5 linked regions of the Oryctolagus cuniculus genome follow. The protein of the gene in region 3 binds, or shares a complex with, the protein of the main gene of each other region. Links are inferred from orthologs where the notes say so. Each region holds a gene or a part of one and is shown on either strand. Other genes may lie near its edges.

Region 1 (5,341 bases), on a different chromosome or scaffold from region 3:
CTGTGTTGCCACTGGGGCCATGCTTGGTTTTGCCCATGTGTATTTCATAAACAAGGATCCTGCTTTTTTTTTTTTTAATACTTCTATTTATTTAAATTTTTAAAGGTTTATTTATTTACTCGAAAGGCAAAGTTACAGAGAGGCAGAGCAGAGAGAAGGAGAGAGAGGTCTTCCATCTGTTGGTTCAATAGGCTGGAGCTAGGCCTATCTGAAGCCAGGAGATAAGAGCTTCTTCCAGGTCTTCCACATGGGTGTAGGGGCCCAAGCACTTGGGCCATCTTCTGCTCTCGCAGGCCATAGCAGAAAGCTGGATCAGAAGTGGAGCAGCCATGACTCAAACCAGCACCCATATGCGATGGTGGCATCATAGGTGGAGGCTTAACCCACTATGCCACAGCACCGGCCCCAGACCCTGCTTCTTGATAGCTGTTTAATTCCAATTTATTCTGGATGCTTGTTCCTTTTCCCACGTTGAGGATAAATTAGTTTCTAGACAAGATTTGTCATCTGTGTTATACTTTCTGCCATTATGTTAATTATCTTACAGTTCTGATTTGAAAAAATGTGTAGTGAAAGTGACAGCTATAGATTGTATATCACTGTTATATATATCACTGATATATATATAATATAATATAATTATATCACTGAGATATATATATATATGTATATATTGTATCACTGTTGCCTTGGTTACTTTTCAGTACATATTATGAATGAAAACTTTAGGGGCCACTGCTGTGGCATAGTGCTTAAAGCCCATGCCTGCAGTACCAGCATCCTATATGGGCGCTGATTCAAGTCCCAGCTGCTCTGTTTCTGATCCAGTTCTCTGCTATGGCCTAGGAAAGCAGTAAGAGATGGCCCAAGTCCTTGGGCCCCTGCATCTGCATGGGAGACCAGGAAGAAACTCCTGGCTCCTCGCTTCGGATCAGCTCAGCTCTGGCCATTATAGCCATTTGGGGAGTGAACCAGCAGATGGAAGACCTAAAGACCTCTCTCTCTCTCTCTCTGCCTCTGCCTTTCCCTCTCTGTAACTCTGACTTTCAAATAAATAAGTAAATCTTTAAAAAAAAAAAATGAAAACTTTAGTCTTGGGATATTTTTATCAGAATGCTTTTTAGTCTTATCCATTATTTTCTACCTTATCCTCTAGGTGTGTTTCCAATCTTTTGTATAATCTTTTCAGAGAAGATCTTCTGGTCTCCATGTCTAAAGGTCTAGGAAATCTCTCTCTCTCTCTCTCTCTCTCTCTCTCACACACACACACACGCACACACACAGTCCTTTATTTACTGGAAATAACTTACTGTTCTGATTTTTCCCCCTTTGTATACATCTCTTGGAATGTATCAGTCTCATGGATTAGATGTATTGTCAAGCCTCCTGCAGACATCAGTGCTGTTCTCTGTGGGGTGGATTCCAGTGCCATAGGTCTGTTCTTAGAGCAGAGGGGTGCCTCGGTTTACTTCATGCACTTAACAATATCCACGTGTTCCTAGCCAGCTTTGTGGTTTTGGCCCATATAGCTCAATGACAAGAACCAGAGGGAGAGGAGGAACTGGAGTTGGGGAATGTTGCAGTTGCTATAAACATTTCATTCTATTGTGCCACTGAAATTGATGGCCTCAAATGTGAATTTTTTCCTCAGCTACATATTTTTAAAGATTTCACATGGACTTTGGGGTCCAATCTGGATTTTTATTTACTCCTTCACTACTTACCAGCAGTGTGACTTGGGCAGATGACTTGATCTTCCTGGGTATCAGCTTCCTCATGAGGATAGTCTTTACTGCCTACGTTTGTGAAAATTAAATAAGGCAATCTGTATAGAGCATTGGCACATAGTAGATTATCAGTAAGTGATTTTCTCTTACAAGAAGCACAGTGACATGGATTAAATGTTTAACAAGCATTTTATTTTAATGTGCATAGGTTCTGTCCATTTGACTTTTTTTTTTTTTTTTAAGATTTATTTTATTTATTTGAAAGATAGAGTTACAGAGAGAGGTAGAGACAGAAAGAGGGGTCTTCCATCCGCTGGTTCACTCCCAGATAGCCGCAATGGCCAGAACTGCACCAATCCAAAGCCAGGAGCTTCCTCTGGGCCTCCCATGTGGGTGCAGGGGCCCAAGGACTTGGGCCATCCTCAACTGCCATCCCAGGCCACAGCAGAGAGCTGGATGGGAAGAAGAGCAGCCAGGACTAGAACCGGGGCCCATATGAGATGCTGATGCTGCAGGTGGAGGATTAACCCGCTGTGCCACAGCGCCGGCCTCGTCCATTTGACTTTTGAAAGAAGATTGATTACAGCTATAAATAGTCTAGGCTAAGTATCAGTAGGAGCCACTGAGGGGGAACTCTGCCTAAATGAGGTTTTGGAAAGAAACTGGATTAAAGGTTAGAAGAGTTTGGTTCTAGCCAGTCTTTATCTTAGTAGCTGTGACCTTAAGTAAGAAATCACTCAGTATCACAGAGCCTCCCTTTTCATGTCTATAAAACAAGGGACCTGCCCTGCTTACCTTAGAGGGTATAATATGAAAAATGTCTTTAAAATGCTTTCAAATTTATGACTTGTAGACCAGTAAGAGGGGTTATTCTCTAGATTCATTAGTGCTGGTTTGCTGCCTCCAAGGAAGAGAGCTGTGCAGACTTTTTGGGCTTTCTGAGTAGTTCTAAGGTGTATGCTGCCGGGACATCTTTTGAAACTTTAAATGAAGGGGTGGACAGAGCAACTATGGAAATCTGATTCTTTGCTATTTGTGCTTAGGTCACGATGAAGACCTACCTTCACAAGGGCATTTCCGTCACGACACCCCGGATCCTTCTCCTCCCAGACGGCTCCGTCATGACACTCCGGATTCTTCTCCTCCCAGGAGAATCCATGACGACACCTTGGATCCATCTTCTCCCAGGAGGGTCCGTCATGACACCCCGGATCCTTCCCCTCCCAGGAGGGTCCGTCACGACACCCCGGATCCTTCCCCTCCCAGGAGGGTCCGTCATGACACCCCGGATCCTTCTCCTCCCAGGAGGGTCCGTCACGACACCCCGGATCCTTCTCCCAGGAGGGTCCGTCACGACACCCCGGATCCTTCTCCCCCCAGGAGGGTCCGTCACGACACCCCGGATCCTTCCCCTCCCAGGAGGGTCCGTCACGACACCCCGGATCCTTCTCCCCCCAGGAGGGTCCGTCACGACACCCCGGATCCTTCTCCCCCTAGGAGGGTCCGTCACGACACCCCGGATCCTTCTCCTCCCAGGAGGGTCCGTCACGACACCCCGGATCCTTCTCCTCCCGGGAAGCCTCATCACAGTTCTTCAGCTGTGTTTCCTAGGAGAACCCGTCATGATTCACCAGATCCGTCTCCTGCTAGGAGGACGTCTCATAATTCCTCAGATATTTCTTCCTCCAGAAGGGCCCACGACAGCTCCCCTGACGCTTCCCAACCTAGGAAAATTCCCGGGACCTCTGACACAGGGCAGCTCAGGGGGGCCCGACACAGTTCCCCCAATTCGGCACCTGATGTCACTCACTCAGTGTCCAAAACCAAAAGTAAGAAAGCCCCAGAAAGAGCATCTAGCAAGACTTCTCCACCTTGGAATGAGCCACAGACCTCTCATTCATTACTCCCGAAGAAGAGCAAGTATGAGTGTGACTCGGATCTCTCTCCGCCACGAAAAAGACAGGCAAAATCCCATTTTGGAGATAAGAAGCAGCTTGAGTCTAAAGGTGAGCACGTGACCGCCCGCGGGAGGGACTTCCTTCCTGGCAGTTTTCTATTGCACTTCTACTTGCTCTATTAGATGTGAGAATGGAATTTCTTTGGAAAAGTTTTGAAAAGTGGGAGTCTGGGCTCAGGAGAGTTAAAACATTATGATGGCAAGGAGGACATTTTTATGAATTATTTTATTTACTTCTCACCATGTATAAAAGTACTACATGTTTGTGGCAGAAGTTTTATAATGCATAGAAGTGTACAAAAAGGCAGAAAAAATGACACAAAATTTTGTCATTCAGAGGCCATCACTGATAATGTTGTAACCAATGTCCATTTAGTCTTTTAAAAAATTAATTTATTTGAGAGGTAGAGGTCCAATGAGACAGACAGAGAGCTCCCATCTGCTAATCACTCCTCAAATGCCTGCAGCAGCCTGGGCTAAAGTTGGGAGCTGAGAACTCAATCCAGTTCTCCCATATGGCTGGCAAGAACCCAGTTACTTGAGCTGTGACTGCTGCCTCCTGGGGTCTGCTTTAATAAGAAGCTGGAGTCAGGAACTGGAGCCAGATATTGAACCCGGATACTCTTATGGAATCGGGGCATCTGAACCACTAGGCTGAATGTGTGCCTTCTTTTAGTCTTTTTTTTTTTTTTTTTTTTTTTGAATGTATTTTTGTTGCAGTTGAGTCCTGGCTATGCAGAATGAGTATTACGGTGTGTGTAATCTTACCTTCTCTCTTAACGTGATATATATCAGATATCAGAATATACTGTAGCTGTTTCCAACTTTGGCCGCACCATGGAGAGCTAACTCCCAAGTTGTTTAGCCTGTTCTGTGAGTAGATGGAGGTGTTGAAGTTTGACACAGCGGTCATGGCCACAGTCACTAGTCATTTGGGAGTAGAACCCCATCTGCTGCCTGTTGGTTTTGAGAGTATCTCTGACTTGGCTCTTCTCCCAAAGCTTCTGTACTTGTGTTTAGGTCAATGTTCTATACCAGCTGAGTAAATTTTTCTTACAGATTCTTACAAAGGGATTAGTCTTTTCTTTAATTTCTAGGCTCTTCCTCCAGCCAAAGGAAATTTCATTTAAGTTCCTCACCTAGGAGACTTAGAAACACATAGGAACTCTTTCCTACCCAGGTGACCGCCGGAAAGCCTCTGATTCCGATCTTTCTCCTCCACGGCGTAAAAATCCGAGGCCTCAGGATTCTGATTCAGATCTGTCTCCTCCACGGAATAGACCTCAGCACCGAAGCTCTGATTCTGACCTCTCTCCACCAAGGAGGAAACGGGGGACCAGGTCTCCTGATTCGGATCTGTCTCCACCCAGGAGAAGTCAGCCTCCCGGAAAGCGGGTAGGGAGCCCCGTCCTTCCCTTCCCGTGACTCCTGTCTTCTGGCTTTGCACGAGTCCCAGGAAACCGAGCCAGCGGAGGAAGTAGCTATGGCAGTGCAGGGAATCCTGGCTTAGAAGTACCACTGGGGCACTTTCCTTTGCTCTCAGGGTGGGACTGGCTGTAACCCCACCCAGATGGGCTTGTATCAAGTCTCGTGTTAATTTTTTTGGGCTAGAAAAACTTCCTGCTTCCTTATGAGTAAATGAAGGGTTGTGGTTTGT
Region 2 (4,451 bases), on a different chromosome or scaffold from region 3:
TTCAAGTGGTAGTGAAAAACTAGAATTCTAGAAGTGCCTTCAACTCTTAAAAGGACGGAATGTCATGTAACAGCATCTGAAATTCTGACTGGTCGTCTTTAATGGGTGCCATTTACAAAATGTAAGATGCTACAATTTTTTATACTGTTTTATTTACTGTATCTACCTGTGTAAGTCATCCCTGTGGTGATTAAATTGCACTAATGTTTCCCAACTTACTCTCGCTTGCGAAATCCTTCGTTACCGATGTCCTGGGAGCAGCAATCCTTTGACCCAGTTTGATTGGCTGCACTGTGCTGTGTGCTGACGGCAGCAGGTGCGCCAGTGCTGAGCTGCAGGAGGACCCAGCCCACGTTACCCCAGCATGTTCCTGTGATTCAACACCCCGCGAATACAGTCTCCCGGAGTCCACGCTGAGTGGTCACCTGTAACTTTAGGCCCTTCTCTTCATGGGTGAGTCCCACTGGAGCTGAGGGTGGAAGCCTAATTGTTGGTCACAGAGCAGGGGCTGGGGAACTAACCTGAGAAATGCCAATTTTGAATGAAGGTATGGACAGGCAGGTGATAGGACATGACCTTTTCCCTCTGTCTCCGGAAATAAACATCTCCTCAGCCAGCTGTTGCCTGTCCTATAATAATACCCTGGACACCTTCAATTCTCATATTTACGCTCCTGGACACACTATTCTCTGCTCCCACTCATTCATCAAAACCGTGACAACCCCACCCCAGCCAGAAGATAATCACCCCTGTCCTTTAAACACATCTCTGTTTTCCTGACCTAGGTTGAACACAGCCCCCTCTGGGTCCACCGAGGGAAGGCTCCAGGGCAGGCATCCACCCAGAAGGCACCCATTTCTGTGAGGCCATTAATCTGCCCCCTAACACTTCAAAGTGTTTATTGGTCCAGTCCTCTCCTTTTACAATGGTGCTGGCCTCTTGGGTGCATAAATCACACGGCCAGAGGCAGAGCCAGGGTAGACCAGACTTTTTTCCCAGGGGCTGCTCTGAGATACTTGGTGAAATTTACTAATGAAACGTCTCTTGCAGAGGGTCTCAGTGCGCAGAGCGCACACACACCCTGCAGTATTTTTCCCCACCTGGTTTCACCTGTGGGCCTGTTTGCCCAGTTCCTCCCAGCGGGACTTCATCTCGGAGTCTCTGCCTACAGCCGTGCATTCAATCCCTGCTGAGACAGACTCAGGCAAGATGAAACTTTAACAGAATTTTATTATAGTTTGTTACAAATAAGTATGAAACTATTTCCTTTACACCATTATTGCCATATACTTTTTAATCCTGTGTACAATTTCACGGAACTGCGAAGCCTTGCTTCTTGGCCGCAGCCCCTAGAGAACCCCTGGGGCGGGCCCCAGCTCCTTCCTGCCTGCAAACGTCAGAAGCTGTTGATCTTCTGCAGCAGGGTCTGGCGCCGCTCCTCCGGGCTGATGTTCTCGGCGATGGACTTTAAGAAGCGCTGCTCATTCACCTTCTGTAACAGGGAGCTGACGGAAGGGTTGGTCTTGCTCAGGGTCTCATAGCAGGTGAGGATTTCCAAGGCCAGCACATACAGCGGTTCACAGACCTCTTGGTAGAGCATGGCCATGATGTGCAGAACATGACAGAACACCTGGGTATAAACAAACAGGGTTTCCTGGGTCAGGTCCTGCTCTTGGCCTTGGGCGCAAGGGCCAACTGACTGTATCAGCCTAACGGAGTCCAGGAGGTTGGTCACACTGCTGCACAGGAGTTTGACCACGTGGCTCCAGCCTTCCATAGGAAGCCAATTACGACAACTCTGGCTGCAGAGAAACTGGAAAGCTCTCAGGAAGAGCACAGAGAGTTGCAGCTCCTGGGCAAAAGGCTTCAGGTTGAGCAGGGGAACAAACTGAATGTACTCCAGGCTATAGGGGACATGGAGGAGCTGTTTCTCCAACAGCTTCCTGGTCAGCTGGTGAAGTCGCTGCCACTCCTGGGGGCTGCACCAAGGCATGACTTGCACCAGGGCCACCAGAAAGCCCTTGCTGAACAACCGGACCTCCTCAGGATTGCCCACGTCCACCACCAAGAGGGAGAGCATCTGCTCCGAGACGCTGCTGGACACGTAGCTGCACTCCATCCAGGCCAGAAGCCCTGTGCCCGGCCCATACCCTGGGTGGGCCTGGGAGGTCCACTCAGACTCAGAAAGCTTACAGATCTCAAAGAGTGTGGTGGGCACCTCGCACTTGAAGTGGCCCTCAAAGAAGTGCTTGAGTCTCAGGCCCACTGTCCAGTCCAGCTGCTCCAGCTTCCGGTGGAGCCAGGACAGGGACTTGCCCCAGGTGTCTGGGGAGAAGGTGTCCGCGTTGGCCGACACAGTGTCACAGAGCAGCACCAGGAGACGGATCACCAGGTCTTTCCCATCCAGGGAGAGGCAGCGCCTCTCTTTGGGCAGCTGCCAGTACTTGCTGAAGCTGTCCAGAAGCTGGCACAAGCTGAAGAGGAGGGGGAACGGGGAGCAGGTCTGGAGCCAGTAGTCCTCCAAGCACGCGCTGGCCTCGAGGGTCTGCAGGCAGATCTTCAGGCTGAGGTCCACCTCGTCCATGTCCAGCATCAGGAAGGGCAGCACAAACTCCTTCAGCACCTCGTCCGGCTCAAGAAGGGCGGCGACTGGGATCCCCGGGGGCCTCACAGGCCTCATCAGGCAGCTCAGCAGCTCCAGAAACTGCTTCTCCTCTCTGGGTGTTGAGAACTTGGTCCAGACAGTTTCTCGGAGGCACGACACCACGAAAGTGCTGGGTGAACGCGGCCCTTCCTCTTCCGTGAACCTGAGGGCGGGGAAGGCGGTGAGAATCTGAGCCAGGAATCTGTGGGTGCCCAGGTTGATCACGGCCATGCTGCACATCTTCTTCACTGTGACCTCCGGGTACAGCACCACCAGGCGGGCCACGGAAGCCACAGCCCTGGCCAAGCCCTGCTCCGAGGTGCCCTGGGTGAGCTGGTTAAAAGTCGTATTGAGGTCTTCCTGGAAACCCTCCAGGTAAGGCAAGAGCTTTTCAGAGAGGCCCTTGCGCCCCCAGGAATGCAGCACGCCCGACAGGACTTTGTTTTTATCTGGCAGTGAGAGGTCTGCGTAACATTCCAGGATCAAGTGGATCACCTGTTTCATCCGAGATTCAGGGATGATTCTGTTGCTCGCGGTGACTTCTACCACCGTTTCTAGCAGCCTTAAAATCAAGCCTGGCTCCCGGAAGAGAGCCCTGTTGTTGGCCAGGCAGGCTACCCACTCGTCTGAGAAGGCCCACTTCTTCTCCGCAGCGAAGACGTAGCACATCTCCATGTGGCGCTCCATCTTCTGCTCAATGATGGCCATGGCGATGGAGGCCATGATGGCCTCAGAGCCCTTGTCCTTTGGCACCCTGCTTGTCTTCCTCAGGAAGCCCTGGACACACTCCGCCAGCTCGGACACCATCCGCCTCTCCTCCGGGGACAGGCTGGTGGCGTCCAGGTAGAGCTTCAGGTTCTGGCTGAAGGACGTCAGACTGTCACACAGCCGGTAGCTGTCGTAATTCGTCCCCTGGCTGCTGTTGAGCATGGCCTGCAGCTCCTCCCCCCACTCCCGCAGCAGGCTGTGCATGAACTCAAACCCCAGGAAAATGGTCTCACTCGGCAGCTTGGCCAGGGAGGTCAGGCTGACATCCCGCTCCGCCTCCTTGACCTTCTCTACCAACGCCTGTTGGTGGTACGGGTTCTGCGTGTCCGAATTCCACACAGAGATCACCGTGGCCAGTTTGTCCAGGTACATGGTCGCAGACACTTCCTGGGGGTCGTCCTCCATCAGCGCAAACACGGTCAGCATGTCAGCCAGGTTGGCCAGCGCACAGCACTTCATCCCCAGGCCCAGGATCCTGTTCTGGATTTGCTTCAACCCATTGAGCAGCATGGCCAGCAAGGGCATGGTGGGACACACATCTGGGTCCGACTTAAACCTCTTTGGAGGGTGGGAGAACTCGTCTGCAGGGTGCAAGTACTTATGGGCCATGGTCCTAAACTGGGAGAGCAGGGGGTCCTGCTGAGGGCCCTTGTGCTTCATCATCTCCCACCAGACGTCGAGGAAGAAGGCCACATCCTTGGAAGAAGTGTCAATGGCCATGTGCTCCAGGAAGCGCTCCAGTTCTGCACGGCAGACGGTGGTGGGCAGGGCCATCAGGAGCTGGATGAAGAGTCCAGATGCTTCCAGGGACTTGAGCAGCTCAAAGAGAACCGTGTGGTTGATGGTAGGAATCATGTTGCCTACGGAGAAGAATATGTCTTCCTGCCACCGAGCTTCCGTGTCAGAGGGGGTGACGGGACAGGGCTGAAGAACCTTGGCCCAGATGATGATCAGAGCTTTCTTCTTCCACGCAAAGGGCTGGGAGTGTGCTGTGGCCGAGGAGATCTCCCTCAAGGCCTCCACGATGGGCCGCCCAACG
Region 3 (5,970 bases):
AGCAACACCCGAGTGCCACGCGGTGGCAGGGACCTAAGCACTTGGGCCACCACCTGCCGCCTCACAGGGACCACTGGGCCGGGAGCAGAACTAGGACTGAACCCAACACAGCAGGCAGGCGTCCAGAGTGGGCCCGGAAGTGCCCTTCCTCCGGGTCTCCCACGCGGTGCAGGGCCCAAGCACTTGGGCCATCCTCCACTGCACTCCCGGGCCACAGCAGAGAGCGGGCCTGGAAGAGGGGCAGCCGGGACTTGAACCGGTGCCTGTATGGATGCAGGCGTCGCAGGTGGAGGCTTAGCCCACTACAACACAGCAGCGGTCCAGGGATTTTTTTTTTTTTTTTTTTTTTTTTTGAAGGATGCAGTTATTTATTTGAAAGGCAGAGTTAGAGAGAGAGAGATGGAGAGAAAGATTGTTCCTTCCACACACTGGCTTACTCTCCGAATGGCTGTAACGGCCAGGCTGGGCCTGGGCAAAGCTGGGAGCTTTCTCTGGGCCCCCCAGCTGAGTGGCAGGGGCCCATGTGCTCCGCCAGCTTCTGCTGCTCTCCCCGGCACGTCAGCAGGGAGCTGCGTCAGAAATGGAGTGGCTGGGACTTGAACCAGCGCCCATATGGGACGCAGGTGTTGTAGGCAGCAGTTTAACCCGCAGTACACAGATGCCAGTCCTGGGATTAAAAGAAAAAAAAAAAAAAGGATAAGAAGGGGCTGGCACTGTGGATCAGCGGGTTAAAGCCATAGCCTGCAGCACCGGCATCCTATATGGTTGCCTGTTCGAGTCCCAGGTGCTCCACTTCGGCTCCAACTCCTGCTGATGCACCCAGAAAAGCAGAAGATGGCCGAATCCTTGGGTCTCTGCACCCACATGGGAGACCCGGAAGTGGCTGCAGTTCCCGGCTCTGGCCTGGCCCAGCCTCAGCCCATGCGGCCGCTTGGGGACTGCACCAGCGATGGAAGATCTCACTCTCACTCCCTCTCTGTAATTGTGCCTTTCAAAAAAAAAAAAAGGCTGGCGCCGTGGCTCACTAGGCTAATCCTCCGCCTAGCGGCGCCGGCACACCGGGTTCTAGTCCCGGTCGGGGCGCCGGATTCTGTCCCGGTTGCCCCTCTTCCAGGCCAGCTCTCTGCTGTGGCCAGGGAGTGCAGTGGAGGATGGCCCAGGTGCTTGGGCCCTGCACCCCATGGGAGATCAGGAAAAGCACCTGGCTCCTGGCATCGGATCAGCAGCGCGCCGACCGCGGCGGCCATTGGAGGGTGAACCAACGGCAAAAGGAAGACCTTTCTCTCTGTCTCTCTCTCTCACTGTCCACTCTGCCTGTCAAAAAAAAAAAAAAAAAAAAAAAAAAGGCTAAGAAGCCCCCATCTTCCAACACATGTGATGTTTCAGTCACACCACACTCCTGCGGATCTGTGACCACCAGGGGGGCGGTCCCTGGAGGGAGGGCGCAGGAAGGAGATCGCCCGTCATCAGGTGCCTGTTTGAATGAACCCGCCCCACCTGCACACACTGCGCATTCAGTCGCGGGTGGGAGGGGCTGAGGGGGCAGGCAACAGCCCGCTGGCCGCAGTGTTCTCAGGCCAGGACCAGCAGAACCGGGCGGCAGGAGAGCGCCTGGAAGGTTCTCCTGCAGGACCGAGCCCTGCCAGGGGCACCTCTGCAAGGCTGTGGGCACCACAAAGGACGGCCAGGGGCACGGTGAGTGCGTGAGTGAGACACCACAGAACACACGGGGGCGGCGCTGTGGTTGGTGGGCTGACGCCCTGGCCTGCAGCGCCAGCATCCCACAAGGGTGCCGGTTCGAGGCCCGGCTGCTCCTCTTCGATCCAGCTCTCTGCTGTGGCCTGGGAAAGCAAAAGATGGCCCAAGTGCTTGGGCCCCTGCATCCACGTGGTAGACCAGGAGAAGCTCCTGGCTCCTGGTCAGCTCAGCTCAGTGAACCAGCGGATGGAAGACCTCTCTGTGTCTCTATCCATAACTCTACCTCTCAAAATAAATAAAATATTAAAAGCCTGCCTGCGTGCTACCCCCGGCTCTGGCCCCACTGTGGACATCCGGGGAGTGCCCAGCAGGTGGGAGCTCTCTCCGTCTCTCCGCTTCTCTTTCAATGAATGAACCAAAAGGTGTCCTGTGGCCAGGCACTTCATGCGTGTTAAGTCACCGCATCTCTGTATCCACCGCGACGACTGCCTGCCACTGTGCGGACAAGATAACGGCACGCGCTGAGGGTCGCCTGGCCGCTCAGAGGGACAGCACAGCAGGGGCCGGCTGGCGCCCACCGCAGGGCAGGGCGGGAGGCGCGGCCTCGGAGGAGCCCCGCCCGCAGGCCCCTCCCTCCCGGGCCAGGCCCCGCCCCCGGCCGCGCACCTGTCGAAGGCCTTCACGCGGCCCAGCAGCTTCTTGTTGTTGCGGCAGTTGATGAGCACCTGCGTGTTGTTCTTGACCGACTGCGTGAGCACGGAGAGCGGGCCCGTGTTGAACTCCTCCTCCTCCCGCTTCTGCAGCTCCTCGGGGGTCATCTCGCTCTTGGGCTTGTTGAGGAGGCTCCTGACGGGGGAGGAGGGACCCGCGGGTGAGGGGAGGAGCCGGGGCCGCCCCCCAGCCCTGCCGGCCTGGTCTCTAGGCATCAGCACCTGGAAGCCACCAGCCATCCCCAACCCCGCCCGCCCCGGCTCAGCTCCCGCTAGGCCCCCTCCCCAGCCTGCTGCACCCAGGGCACACCACTCCCTGGGGGGTAAGTCCGCCCTTCTCATTGGCCGGGCAGAAGCGGACGTCCACTCCTCTTTCGTCTCCCACGGCAACTCGGACAGCAGCCACTGTCAGGACTTGCTCTACGGCGCCCCCACCTTCCTCCCCCTGGCGTCTGACGCCCACTGCCCCACAATCGGACGCTTGTCCCTCGGCATCCACAGGGGGCTGGTCCCAGGATCCGCGTTGCCCGGGTCCCGGAAGCCTCAGCGGCTCGGATCCCTTAGGTGGGATGGCGGGGACGCACACACACACACCCTGCGCACACCTCCCGCTCGCTAAGTCATCTCCAGGTTACAGCGTAACGGGACCTGACTGTGCTGCGACCCCGTGGAGCCCGGGCAACAGTCACAGGAGAAAGGCCTGCCCGGCCACTCGGGGCTGGCCAGCCTCGGTGTTCAGAACAGCACTCGGGCGCCGGCTTAAAAACCAGCCTGCCGTAGTCCCGCTCGGCAGGGCCGAATCAATGCGTCTGCCGGCCGTACCCCTCCCCCCGGCCGGCTGCAGAATCCGACCTCCGTGCCAGGGCTACCTGCACCCAGGGGCAGCCTGGGGGCCGTGCGCAAGCCTAACTCACGGCAGCCTCTTCGGAACCCTCCCAGGGCCCCCGGCTGAGCCTGCAGCCCCAGCCGCGGCGTCGTTGCGAATCAGGCCGAGCAGCCACGGCCCCCGGCCCCAGCTCACGTTCCAAGCCCCTCGCCCCCAATCGCTATGCCTAAAAGCCCGCGCCCGCTCCCCGGCTTCTGTAACTCGAGAAGCCGCTTCTTAACCTTCACTCCAGCGAGCTGATGACGCGGAGGAGCCGCTGCCCGTTCTCTCACAGAGCTGGCGGCCCTCGCGGACTCAGGGTCCGCCAGAGGCCCCGGGGGCCGGTCCCACGCTCATTACAGAAAATTCGCCCGAGAGCTCTGCTCCGCCCCCGGCGCTGCCGCCCCCTTCCGCCGCTAATCGGCCGCATTCGCACCCACAACCTCACGCCCGCCGCTTAAGCCCAGCCCGGCCTCACATGGTGCCGGCCCCGCGTTCGGGTCACTCTCACTCCAACCTCCTCCGCGTTGCTTCTGCCTCTGCGGATGGAGCGCGAGAGGGGCGGGACTTCCGCTTCCGGCGGGCCACTTCCGTGGGCGCCTGCGCAAACCCACCCGGCGGGCTGGGGCGTGGCTTGTTGCCATAGCGACCCCCGCCGGCTGCGCAGCGAGGGGGCCGAAGCCGCGAGCGGCAGTTCGAGGCCTTTAAGGACCACAGCGGGCAGGTGTTCATCGGGATGGAGAGACCAAGACAGAGAGTCCGAGTCGCGCCGCTTCGTGGTAGAGGCGGGACAGGCTGCAGGAGGGAAACGGCCAGAGGTTTCTAAATGCCCGCCAGCCCCGTCTCCGGGGGCGCGGCCTCCACGAAGCCAATCCGGTCCCGGCTTCGGGGCCTGACGCCTCGCTGGATCTTCCCGTCCCGCGGAACCAATCCCTTTCCGCGGCCGGGCGCTGCCCATTGGCTTTACCCGCTCCGCCGGGGCGGGCCGCACGCCTTCGCGTCCCCTCTGGGGGTTGTGCAACCCCTCTGGGAGCCAATCGCGACACCCCGGGCCTCCGGGGAGGCTTGTCCTCGGGAGCTGCACCCGGCTCGCCGGGCCGGGGTGGTGCCCGGCGCTCTTGTCGCTCATTGGCTTTGTGATTCCATGGGGTGGGACTTGGCTGGGCCTGAACTCCATCCGCGGTCCCTGGCCGGTTTCAGGGCAAAGCTGCCATGCGTCCCGGGGGCCGCGGGCGGCCCCGGCCCCGGCTCGGGGAGCGCGGCCTGATGGAGCCGAGCTCGCCGCTCAAGCGCCGCCTGCTCCCGCGGGCGCAGCTGCTGCCCGTGCTGCTGCTGGCGCTGGCCGTGGGCTCGGCCCTCTACACGCTGTGGGGCAGCTGGCACCGCAGGACCGAGGAGCTGCCGCGGGTGAGGCTGGGCGCGGCGCGGGCACTGGAGGGCCCTCTCTCCCCGCTTCCTCTTTCCGAGTTTCGGTTTGACGTGGCGCTACCTGGGGCCCTGGCCGCAGGTGCCACCGGCTGCCTCCCCGGAGCGCAAGCCCCCTCCCAACGCGCCCCCTGGAAAGAAAGGCTCCGGAGTCGTCAGGATGAGGGTTTTGGGTTCCACGCCCGAAAGGCAACTCTTGGAAGCCTCCCTTCCCCTCGCTGGGCTTCGGTTTCCATGTCACGATCGAGGGGTAGGCTAAACCGGGTGGGCTTGGAGAGACTTTGATCCTGGAAGTCTCCCATGCCGCGGAGGCACCCGGGCTTTTGGGGGGAGGGAGCAGTGCGCTCATTCTTCTCTTCTTTAGACGCCGCTGACCGGAAGTCTCCCGGAGGCCCGGCTGCGGAGGGTGGTGGGGCAGCTGGACCTGCAGCGCCTCTGGGGCACTTTCCTGCGACCGCTGCTTGTTGTGCGAGCCCCGGGCACTCCGGGCAGTCTCCAAGTCAGAAAGGTACGAGGCCCCGTCTCCTCTCCCAGCGCTGACCCGCCCCCACCCCCACACACACCTAGCCCAGCGGGGCATGGGAAGCGGGGGTCCTGTCCAAGGGTCCCGGAGCGGCGGAGGGGCAGGAGCCAGGCACTGACTCGAGTCTCACACAGGTGTTTCCCAAGCAGCAAACAGCCCCGTGAGGGGTCAGTAAGATCTTCAATGTGCAGGTGGGGAGGCCGGGGCCCAGGGAGCTTGCAGCTGGTCAGGAGGCTGGGGCCCAGGGAGCTTGCAGCTGGTCAGTGGGAGACCGGGGCTGGAACCCAAGCTTACGTTAGCTCCAGAGCTGGCGGCTGGGACTGGCTGTACTTCTCCTAGAAAGCATCAGGGCTCATTTGCATACTGCTGCCTCCTGACCCACGTGAGACAGGTTCATTCTATTTTATTTGAAGATTTGTTTATTCGAGAGACAGAGTTACAGAGAGAGAGAGGTCTTCCATCTGCTGGTTCATTCCCCATATGGCTGCAACGGCCAGAGCTGGACCGATCTGAAGCCAGGAGCCAGGAGCTTCTTCCAGGGTCTCCCACGCAGGTGCAGGGGCCCAAGCACTTGGGCCATCTTCCACCGCTTTCCCAAGCCATTAGCAGGGAGTTGGATCGGAAGTGGAGCAGCTGGGGCTTGAACCGGTGCCCGTATGTGATGCTGGCACCAGAGGCAGAGGCTTACCCTGCTCTGCCACAGCGGCGGCCCCTGGACTAGCGTCCTAACTTCTCCCGCCCTGAGTTTG
Region 4 (4,022 bases), on a different chromosome or scaffold from region 3:
ATTAAAAAACTACTTGGGCCAGTGCTGTGGTTAGTGGAGGAAGCTGCCGCCTACAGTACCAGCATCCCATATAGGAGCCGGTTCAAGTCCAAGCTGCTCCACTTCTGATCCAGCTCTCTATGGCCTGGGAAAGCAGCAGAAGATGATTCAAGTGCTTGGGCCCCTGTACCCAAGTTGGAGACCCAGAGGAAGCTCCTGGCTCCGGATTGGCACAGCTCTAGCTGTTGTGGCCATTTGGGGAATGAACCAGCGGATGAAAGACTTTTCTCTGTGCCTCTCTGTAACTCTGCCTTCCAACAAAAAAAGAAAGAAAACCACATGGATAGGAAGAAAGAAATCATGGAAACTAGCTTTTTTCTGATTCTTCCTGAACCTATCAAGCTCAAATAGGAGAAGTTGCAGCTGAGCTTACAGAAACTTCATTTCCCGGAGTTCTGGCTTTTAGTAGAGCTCGGTTGTGTCCCTCTCACCTCTCACCTGGAAGACATGCCTTCCAGGACAACAAATAAAATCCTATTTCCAACTAGGTTTTCCTTTACTTATTTTTGGATTTGGAATGCCATAGGCTTTTTATCTAATGCACGTCGGTGTGAAAACTCTAATAACTTTCAAGAGAAACATGGCAGCTGAATACCAGGAGAAACAAGTGAGCATCATGTGCATCCTAGAAACGCTTACAGAGCTTCTGTCTCTGATCATGGAGTGCCTGCAGAAGGCTGCACCATTTACTGATGGACAATACTCTTCCATACCAACAGGAGGTCCAACATGGAATTCCTTTAATCTTTCTTCACACTCTTAAAAAATGCACAGATAAAATATTATACATTAATTGATCTTAAATCAATGAGAGAAGTGGGGGGGGGAATTAAACGCACAAAGAAACACAAAGCACATAAGTTTTCTTTTGAAAAGAAAGTATGCAACATTTTATAAGCTGCATAAATTACAACAAAAATTTGGAACACAAATTTAGCTATTTAGATTAAAAATATTTATTACAAGCAAAGTTCCTTTTCTCAATTAAAAAGAAAACATGATTGGAAACACTGATAATGGAGACTGGGTTCAAACTATTCCCATGTCCATTATAAAATAAGGTATGAATAAAGGAAAAGGTATTTTGGGATTTAAAATTAGGGAAGTCTACAAATGATTTAGATGACAGGAAAGTGGGGGTGGATAAAAAGAAAAAACTAACCAAAGCCAAGATGATCCTTAACATTTGAGTCTTTAATTAAGCACATAAAACTGTACTACTTAATATATTTCTCCATAAACTTCTTGTGAAATTCAGATCGCAGTGTATCATTTACAAATCTTTTGTCTTTCTTTTGATCATCTACACCTTTTGCACAGTTCTTGAAGACAACATCATCATCCCACCTAAACAGGGAAAAAACATAGAACACCCTATAACGTTTGTATCAGGAAGGCACCACGCGAACTGCAAAGCTTAGTCTTTATACAGAAATATGCTCGACATGCACATCATTTGATGCAGCAATTATACCCAGAAGATTAACGTAATCCTTAATAATCGTGCTTTATTTTAGCAGGAAAGACAATTCTTACTTAGAGAATGTAAAGTTTGCTGTTTCCCCAGTAAAAGAAACTGAGTTATAAAGCAGAAATATACAGAATATACAGGATAATCCTCATTAATATAGATGTCACTAGATGAGAATAACTGATCAATTTACTATAGTTTAGATTATGACATTTTGAGGATATTATATAATCTTCTTTATTAGTTAATTTAGTAATCATACTATAGCAGTAACATTGTGGGGCAAAAGGAACAGGAACTATCAGGTAGAATAACTAAGGTTCTTATATTGACTCACATCTACATAAACCACAGAAAGATAGCACTTAAAGAGCTCAAGGTAGAACTCTGTTTGCATACTTCTGGGTGGATTTTGTACTGCGTAAGTATTAAAAAAAACACCCGTGGGTGGACTATAAAATAGATGTTAGAGAAAATAAGATAAGATTGCATAACATGACCCAGCATATAAGATATAAGCTCAAACAAATGATACGAGTGTAAAATACAAGCCTATTCAAACGTGGTTGCGTGTGTTGATGTATGTATGCCATGAGAAACGGCACAGAAGAAATAAGAAAAGAATGTGGGCATTTTTGAAATATAGCATTAGTGAAGTCATCATTGATACAATACACAGAAACATAAAAGTGTAAACAGATCAACATGACTAGAATATAAGACATGTTTCCATCTACAAACAATTCCATCTGCATCCAAAAAGGAAAAGAAACTGTTTATCCTTACCTTTATATATAATCAGTAAAATCAATATACATTTTTTTCTATGTCCACTCTCTTCCCAACTCTTTGTCCCTCCTCCCCAACATCAAAATTATCATTCCACGCCACTAAATGGTAGCACTCATTTACGTGTCCTGACACCAATATTTGCCCTAAATGATCATGCCTCTCCTCTTGCCACACCAATCTCTTAGTTCTCTGTTTCACTGGCTGTTCCTTCTCTGTCTAGTTTTCTTCCATTCAAAATTCATTTACTGTTTCAGGCAGTGATAGCTAATCATCGACTCAACCTCTGAATACAACACCATGCTCAGTCCTAGGACTCCTCTCTAGCTATACTCATTCTTGAGGTGATCTTTTTTTTTTATTTTATTTTTTTATTTTTTTTTATTTTTGACAGGCAGAGTGGACAGTGAGAGAGAGAGACAGACAGAAAGGTCTTCCTTTGCCGTTGGTTCACCCTCCAATGGCCGCCGCGGCCGGCGCACCACGCTGATCCGATGGCAGGAGCCAGGTGCTTCTCCTGGTCTCCCATGGGGTGCAGGGCCCAAGCACTTGGGCCATCCTCCACTGCACTCCCTGGCCACAGCAGAGAGCTGGCCTGGAAAAGGGGCAACCGGGACAGAATCCGGTGCCCCGACCGGGACTAGAAGGTGGAGGATTAGCCTACTGAGCCGCGGCGCCGGCCTTCTTGAGGTGATCTTACGCAGTGTCAGAACTCCTATAAGCAGACAACTCTGAAATTTATTACCCCAGCTTGGACTGGAATCATATTAAGTTACCTCCTTAACATTTCCTCAGAGATGCACGTATCCTGCCAAACTTACTGTGTCCTAAGTTTGCCACCTCCCCTAACCCCAACCTTAGTCTACATTCTTCACTATCTCTATCCTTTCACAATTGTTTGGGTCAAATAGCTCAGACTCCAGTCTCTGATAAAAATGTCACCTTGTCAGCAAATCCTTCCTTGACTATGCTGCTGCCTCTGCATGGAGGGAGATTTTTACAGCTTTAGAGACCACTGTAAGGACTCAAGTTTTTACTGCAAATGAGTCAAGAAGCCATGGGAGGTTTAGTAGAGGAGACTGTTGCTGTAAACTTCAGTTTAAAAGGATCACGCTTCTGTGTCAAGAAAAATCTGGGAGTGAAGAGGGTGGCGAGTGTGCAGGAGAACAATTAGGGGCACTGCATCACTATGGAAGACGCAGCAATGGAGATGGTGAGAAATAATGGATATAGTTTAAAAGTTAAGCCTCCAGGCCGGCGCCGTGGCTCACTAGGCTAATCCTCCACCTGCCACGCTGGCACACCGGGTTCTAGTCCCGGTCGGGGTGCCGGATTCTGTCCCGGTTGCCCCTCTTCCAGGCCAGCTCTCTGCTATGGCCCGGGAGTGCAGCGGAGGATGGCCCAAGTGTTTGGGCCCTGCACCCACCTGGGAGACCAGGAAAAGCACCTGGCTCCTGCCATCGGATCAGCATGATGCGCTGGCCGCAGTGCGCCGGCTGCGGCGGCCATTGGAGGGTGAACCAATGGCAAAAGGAAGACCTTTCTCTTTGTCTCTCTCTCTCACTGTCCACTCTGCCTGTCAAAAAAAAAAAAAAAAAAAAAAAAAAAGTTAAGCCTCCAAGAGCCTTGATCACTAAGCTTCCTTCACTCAGCACTTCCTATAAAACTTTATTTTTCTGCATATCATCTAAAATACCATAGATAGTACTTTTTGTTTATAGTC
Region 5 (4,189 bases), on a different chromosome or scaffold from region 3:
AAAAATAATTAAATGAACAAAGAGCTTTGAAAATTAAGTATGTGTTAGACTGGAAAATAAGGTCCAGAAGGCAGAGAAAAAAAAACGAGAGGAAAAAAGAAATCAGCATCCGTAAGGTCCAACCATTAAAGAAGGGCAAGCAAAAGGGAGGATGGCCAGCGCCATGGCTCAATAGGCTAATCCTTTGCCTGCGGCACCGGCACACCGGGTTCTAGTCCCAGTCAGGGCGCCATATTCTATCCCGGTTGCTCCTCTTCCAGTCCAGCTCTCTGCTGTGGCCCGGGAAGGCAGTGGAGAATGGCCCAAGTGTTTGGGCCCTGCTGCACCCTCATGGGAGACCAGGAGAAGCACCCGGCTCCTGGCTTCGGATCAGCGCAGCGTGCCAGCCATAGCAGCCATTTGGGGGGTGAACCAACGGAAGGAAGACCTTTCTCTCTCTCTCACTGTCTAACTCTGCCTGTCAAATAAAAACAAAACAAACAAACAAACAAAAATCTCTGGAGCTTTTTAAGGGGAAAAATAAAAGGGCAAGCAAAAGGGAAGAAATTACCAAAGTTAAACAATAAGTTTCTTGGCTATAAAGAGCAAGAATATCCACACTGAATGGTCTGCCTGGCCGGCGCCGCGCTCACTAGGCTAATCCTCCACCTGCGGTGCCAGCACCCCAGGTTCTAGTCCCGGTCAGGGCGCCGATTTCTGTCCCGGTTGCTCCTCTTCCAGGCCAGCCCAATGCTATGGCCCGGGAGTGCAGTGGAGGATGGCCCAAGTGCTTGGGCCCTGCACCTGCATGGGAGACCAGGAGGAAGCACCTGGCTCCTGACTTTGGATTGGCACTGTGCACCGGCTGCAGCACATCGGCCGTAGCGGCCATTTGGGGGGTGAACCAACGGAAGGAAGACCTTTCTCTCTCTCTCTCTTTCTCTCACTAACTCTGCCGGGGGGGGGGGGGGGGGGGGAGTCTGTCTACTACCCAGAGCAACAAAATGGAAGGGGAGAAAAGGAGAAAAGATCGGAGGTGATGGCAAGAGAACCCTATGCCAAATCTTTAAGGAATTTCATAATATCAGGAATAGAGTCAATCTGTAAATCTTCTAAAGTGGCAAGAATGGGAACCAGGTCATGTACTAGAAAACAGGAAATAAAAATACCAATCTTTTTTACAGTAATATCAGGAGCTACAATAAACAGATGCACACATGACAAGAAAATTCTAAAAAACAACAAAACCTCCTGTGCTGTTGCCAAATATTTGTATTCTGAATAGAGTATAAGTACACCATTCACAAAAGCATATATAATCCCTCGAACTTACCAGCTTCCCTTTTCTTAGATTTCACCTTGGGTTCAACATCCACAAGTAGTGTATCCAGAGGTAAACTGTCCGGTAGAATAAAATAGCGAATGTTATTCCCTCGAATACTCAGTGTTTCCAGCTGTACAGGTTCTCTGTTCTTCAGGGTCATCTTCACGGCTTTAAGATGCGTATTCATGCTGACATCTACACCTGGAAGGGAAAAAGCAGGACAATTACTAGCGCGAAAAGGAAGGCAACCAATTAATCTATGAAGCCATGGTAAATACTATATTACAGATGAGAACCATTTGCTACAAAGGAAGTTTCCATAACACAAATTAGCACATATGCAATGGGTAAATGGAGGAGGAATGTCAGCCTAAGTCTGTATTCATTCCTTCCTAGAGGTTTTGCCAGTTACATTTGCAGAAGTGAATGAAGAAAGCCTGGTGGAAACCTGCCTGTTACACATGCTTTATGCCCACCAACCCAAGGATCCTCCTCCTATCTTAGGTTTGGCCAAGTATTTATGGCAAGATTCTTTAAAAAAAAAAAAAAAAAAAAGTGTCATATATTGTCCCCATAACTTCATTATATTGCATTCCACCATGTTATCCTCACTTTTAAAAAAAAATGTAAATTTATTTGTTTGAAAGGCACAGCAACAGAGACAGAGAGATTCTCCACCTGCAGTTTGATTCCCCAAACACCCAAAACAGCAGGGCAGGGCCAGGCCAAAGCTGGGGACCTGGAATTTCTAGGTCTCCCATGTGGGCAGCAGGTACTCAAACACTTGACGTATCATCTGCTGCCTCCCAGAATAAGCATCAGTAGGAAGCTAGATTGGACTAGGATTTGAATCAGTCCCAAGAGGTAGTTTAACCCACTGTGCCACAAAGTCTGCCCTACTATTCTCACTTTTCTTTTTTTAAAGATTTATTTATTTTACTTAAAGTCAGAGTTACACAGAGAGGAGAGGCAGAGAGAGAGAGAGAGAGCGCGCGCGAGCGAGCGCGGGTGAGAGAGAAATCTTCCTGTCGCTCCCCCTCTTCGTGGAGGAACGACACTAAACCCTGCCTAGGCTTCATATCCGAGTCACGGCACCATTATGTCGCTCCCCCTCTTCGTGGAGGAACGACACAAGACCCTGCGCTGTTCTTTCGTCTGCTCGGCCCTCCCCGGGTTTGCTGCTGGTTCTTCCCGGGTTGGCTACTATCCCTTCCACCTCCGTGGAAGGGCAGTTCCCCCTGGCCACATTCCCCACTTCCGCAGGGGAGCGGCACACCGCCGGCCGGCTCTTCTCGGGGGCTGCACAGGTGTTCCTTCAGCTAGATGTTCCCCTTAGATGTTCCCCATAGATGTTCCTGGTGCATGTTGTCTCTCTCCTCCTTTATAGTCCTTCCACCAATCCCAACTCTGCTACCCACACGCCGAGTACGCTGCTCTCCTCCAATCAGGAGCAGGTCCCACAGTTTATTGGTTGAACTGGAGGCAGCTGAGTAGAAGCTGTTTCCCTTCTCAGCGCCATATTGTGGGAAAGCAGATGCATAGAATAAGTCTTAATTCCAGTAACTTAGTCTAGTCCGAGTTGCTCCCAGTTGCTCCCCACACTTCCATCCGATGGTTCACTCCCCAATTGGCCGCAATGGCCAGAGCTGCGCCAATCCAAAGCCAGGAGCCAGGAGCCTCCTCGGGGTCTCCCATGCGGGTGCAGGGGCCCAAGGACTTGGGCCATCTTCTACTGCATCCCAGGTCACAGCAGAGAGCTGGACAGGAAGTGGAGCAGCCAGGTCTCGAACGGGCGCCCATATGGGATGCTGGCGCTTCAGGCCAGGCGTGTTAACCTGCTGCGCCACAGCGCCAGCCCCCTTACTTTTGTTTTCAAAGTCTTATATTTACTGTAGCATTTATTAGTAGGAATTTAGAGTGCATTTTTAACTAACCTTTTAAAAACAACTATTATTTGAGAAGCAAAGAAAGATAGAGCTCCCATCTGCTGATTCACTCCCCAAATGCCCACAATGGCTGCAGCTGAAGCTAAAGCCAAAGGCAGGAGTTGGGAACTCAGCCCAGGTCTTCCATGTGAATGACAGGAACCCAATTACTTGAGCTAGCATTGTGGCCTGCCAGGGTCTGCATTAGCTGGAAGCTGAAGTCATGAGCCAGAGCTAGGTACTGAAATCAGGGAAGGCAGTGGAGGAAGACCCAAGTGCTCAGGTCCCCGCACCCATGTGGGAAATCTGGAAGAAGTTCCCGGCCCTTGGGTTTGGCCTGGCCCAGCCCTGGCTGTTGTGGCCATTTGGGGAATGAACCAGCAGATGGAGGATCTGTCTGTCTCTGTAACTTTCTTTCAAATAAATAAAGTAAATCTTTTTTAAAAATTACATATAAACTTAGAATTTAAATATTTCAGAGTGGGGCACAAATAAAGACAGTTTTCTCTCAATTCTTTTGAAATTTTACAACTTCCTGGAATATCTACTATAAGCAAAGAACTGAAGTAGACATTAAATATGAAATACACAATATTATTAAGACAATGAGTTAGACACATAATATAGCCCTGCTTCTTGCCTTCAAGAATAGGAACCACAAATTCTAATAAAAAAAAAAAGTTTCAAATGCATTTTGGAACAATTAACATTCAAGGAAAAGAAATACACAAGCAAAGGCATAAAAGCAAGAAAATAGGATAAACTAGGTAATTTGGTTTGGTTGTAGAGCAAGTATGTAAAGTAAAAAGTCAATTAAATAATTCATACCAAAAAATAAGGATCTGTACTATAATTAAAAGTAAAATGAATTCTGGTTTTCATGTTTAAGAGATGAAGAATAAGTGTTATAAAGTCATCAATCTCCATACCTGTGATTGTTCCATGGACCTGTGTTCCATTC

What was found.
Region 1: SNRPD2 (region 3) and BUD13 share a complex: the UniProt entries of both Homo sapiens proteins name them as parts of the minor spliceosome. The link is inferred for Oryctolagus cuniculus from reciprocal best matches to the Homo sapiens genes SNRPD2 and BUD13.
Region 2: SNRPD2 (region 3) and GEMIN4 share a complex: the UniProt entries of both Homo sapiens proteins name them as parts of the SMN-Sm complex. The link is inferred for Oryctolagus cuniculus from reciprocal best matches to the Homo sapiens genes SNRPD2 and GEMIN4.
Region 4: SNRPD2 (region 3) and CWC15 share a complex: the UniProt entries of both Homo sapiens proteins name them as parts of the minor spliceosome. The link is inferred for Oryctolagus cuniculus from reciprocal best matches to the Homo sapiens genes SNRPD2 and CWC15.
Region 5: SNRPD2 (region 3) and SNRPD1 share a complex: the UniProt entries of both Homo sapiens proteins name them as parts of the SMN-Sm complex. The link is inferred for Oryctolagus cuniculus from reciprocal best matches to the Homo sapiens genes SNRPD2 and SNRPD1.

What each region holds. Positions count from the first base shown.
Region 1 is NC_091432.1:108,718,237-108,723,577, reverse strand, and holds part of BUD13 (BUD13 homolog), read left to right. Parts: intron 1-2,770; coding exon 2,771-3,733; intron 3,734-4,864; coding exon 4,865-5,079; intron 5,080-5,341. UniProt on the Homo sapiens protein: Involved in pre-mRNA splicing as component of the activated spliceosome. As a component of the minor spliceosome, involved in the splicing of U12-type introns in pre-mRNAs.
Region 2 is NC_091448.1:46,448,038-46,452,488, reverse strand, and holds the end of GEMIN4 (gem-associated protein 4), read right to left. Parts: coding exon 1,397-4,451; 3' UTR 1,213-1,396; downstream 1-1,212. UniProt on the Homo sapiens protein: The SMN complex catalyzes the assembly of small nuclear ribonucleoproteins (snRNPs), the building blocks of the spliceosome, and thereby plays an important role in the splicing of cellular pre-mRNAs.
Region 3 is NC_091449.1:11,274,759-11,280,728, reverse strand, and holds the start of SNRPD2 (small nuclear ribonucleoprotein Sm D2), read right to left. Parts: upstream 3,902-5,970; 5' UTR 3,754-3,901; coding exon 3,752-3,753; exon of another isoform or gene 3,516-3,751; intron 2,545-3,515; coding exon 2,365-2,544; intron 1-2,364. Other genes in the region: QPCTL (glutaminyl-peptide cyclotransferase-like protein), read left to right, coding at 4,486-4,680, 5,063-5,206. UniProt on the Homo sapiens protein: Plays a role in pre-mRNA splicing as a core component of the spliceosomal U1, U2, U4 and U5 small nuclear ribonucleoproteins (snRNPs), the building blocks of the spliceosome.
Region 4 is NC_091432.1:86,190,634-86,194,655, forward strand, and holds the end of CWC15 (spliceosome-associated protein CWC15 homolog), read right to left. Parts: intron 1,387-4,022; coding exon 1,257-1,386; 3' UTR 1,213-1,256; downstream 1-1,212. UniProt on the Homo sapiens protein: Involved in pre-mRNA splicing as component of the spliceosome. Component of the PRP19-CDC5L complex that forms an integral part of the spliceosome and is required for activating pre-mRNA splicing.
Region 5 is NC_091441.1:56,024,401-56,028,589, forward strand, and holds part of SNRPD1 (small nuclear ribonucleoprotein Sm D1), read right to left. Parts: coding exon 4,158-4,189; intron 1,505-4,157; coding exon 1,313-1,504; intron 1-1,312. UniProt on the Homo sapiens protein: Plays a role in pre-mRNA splicing as a core component of the spliceosomal U1, U2, U4 and U5 small nuclear ribonucleoproteins (snRNPs), the building blocks of the spliceosome.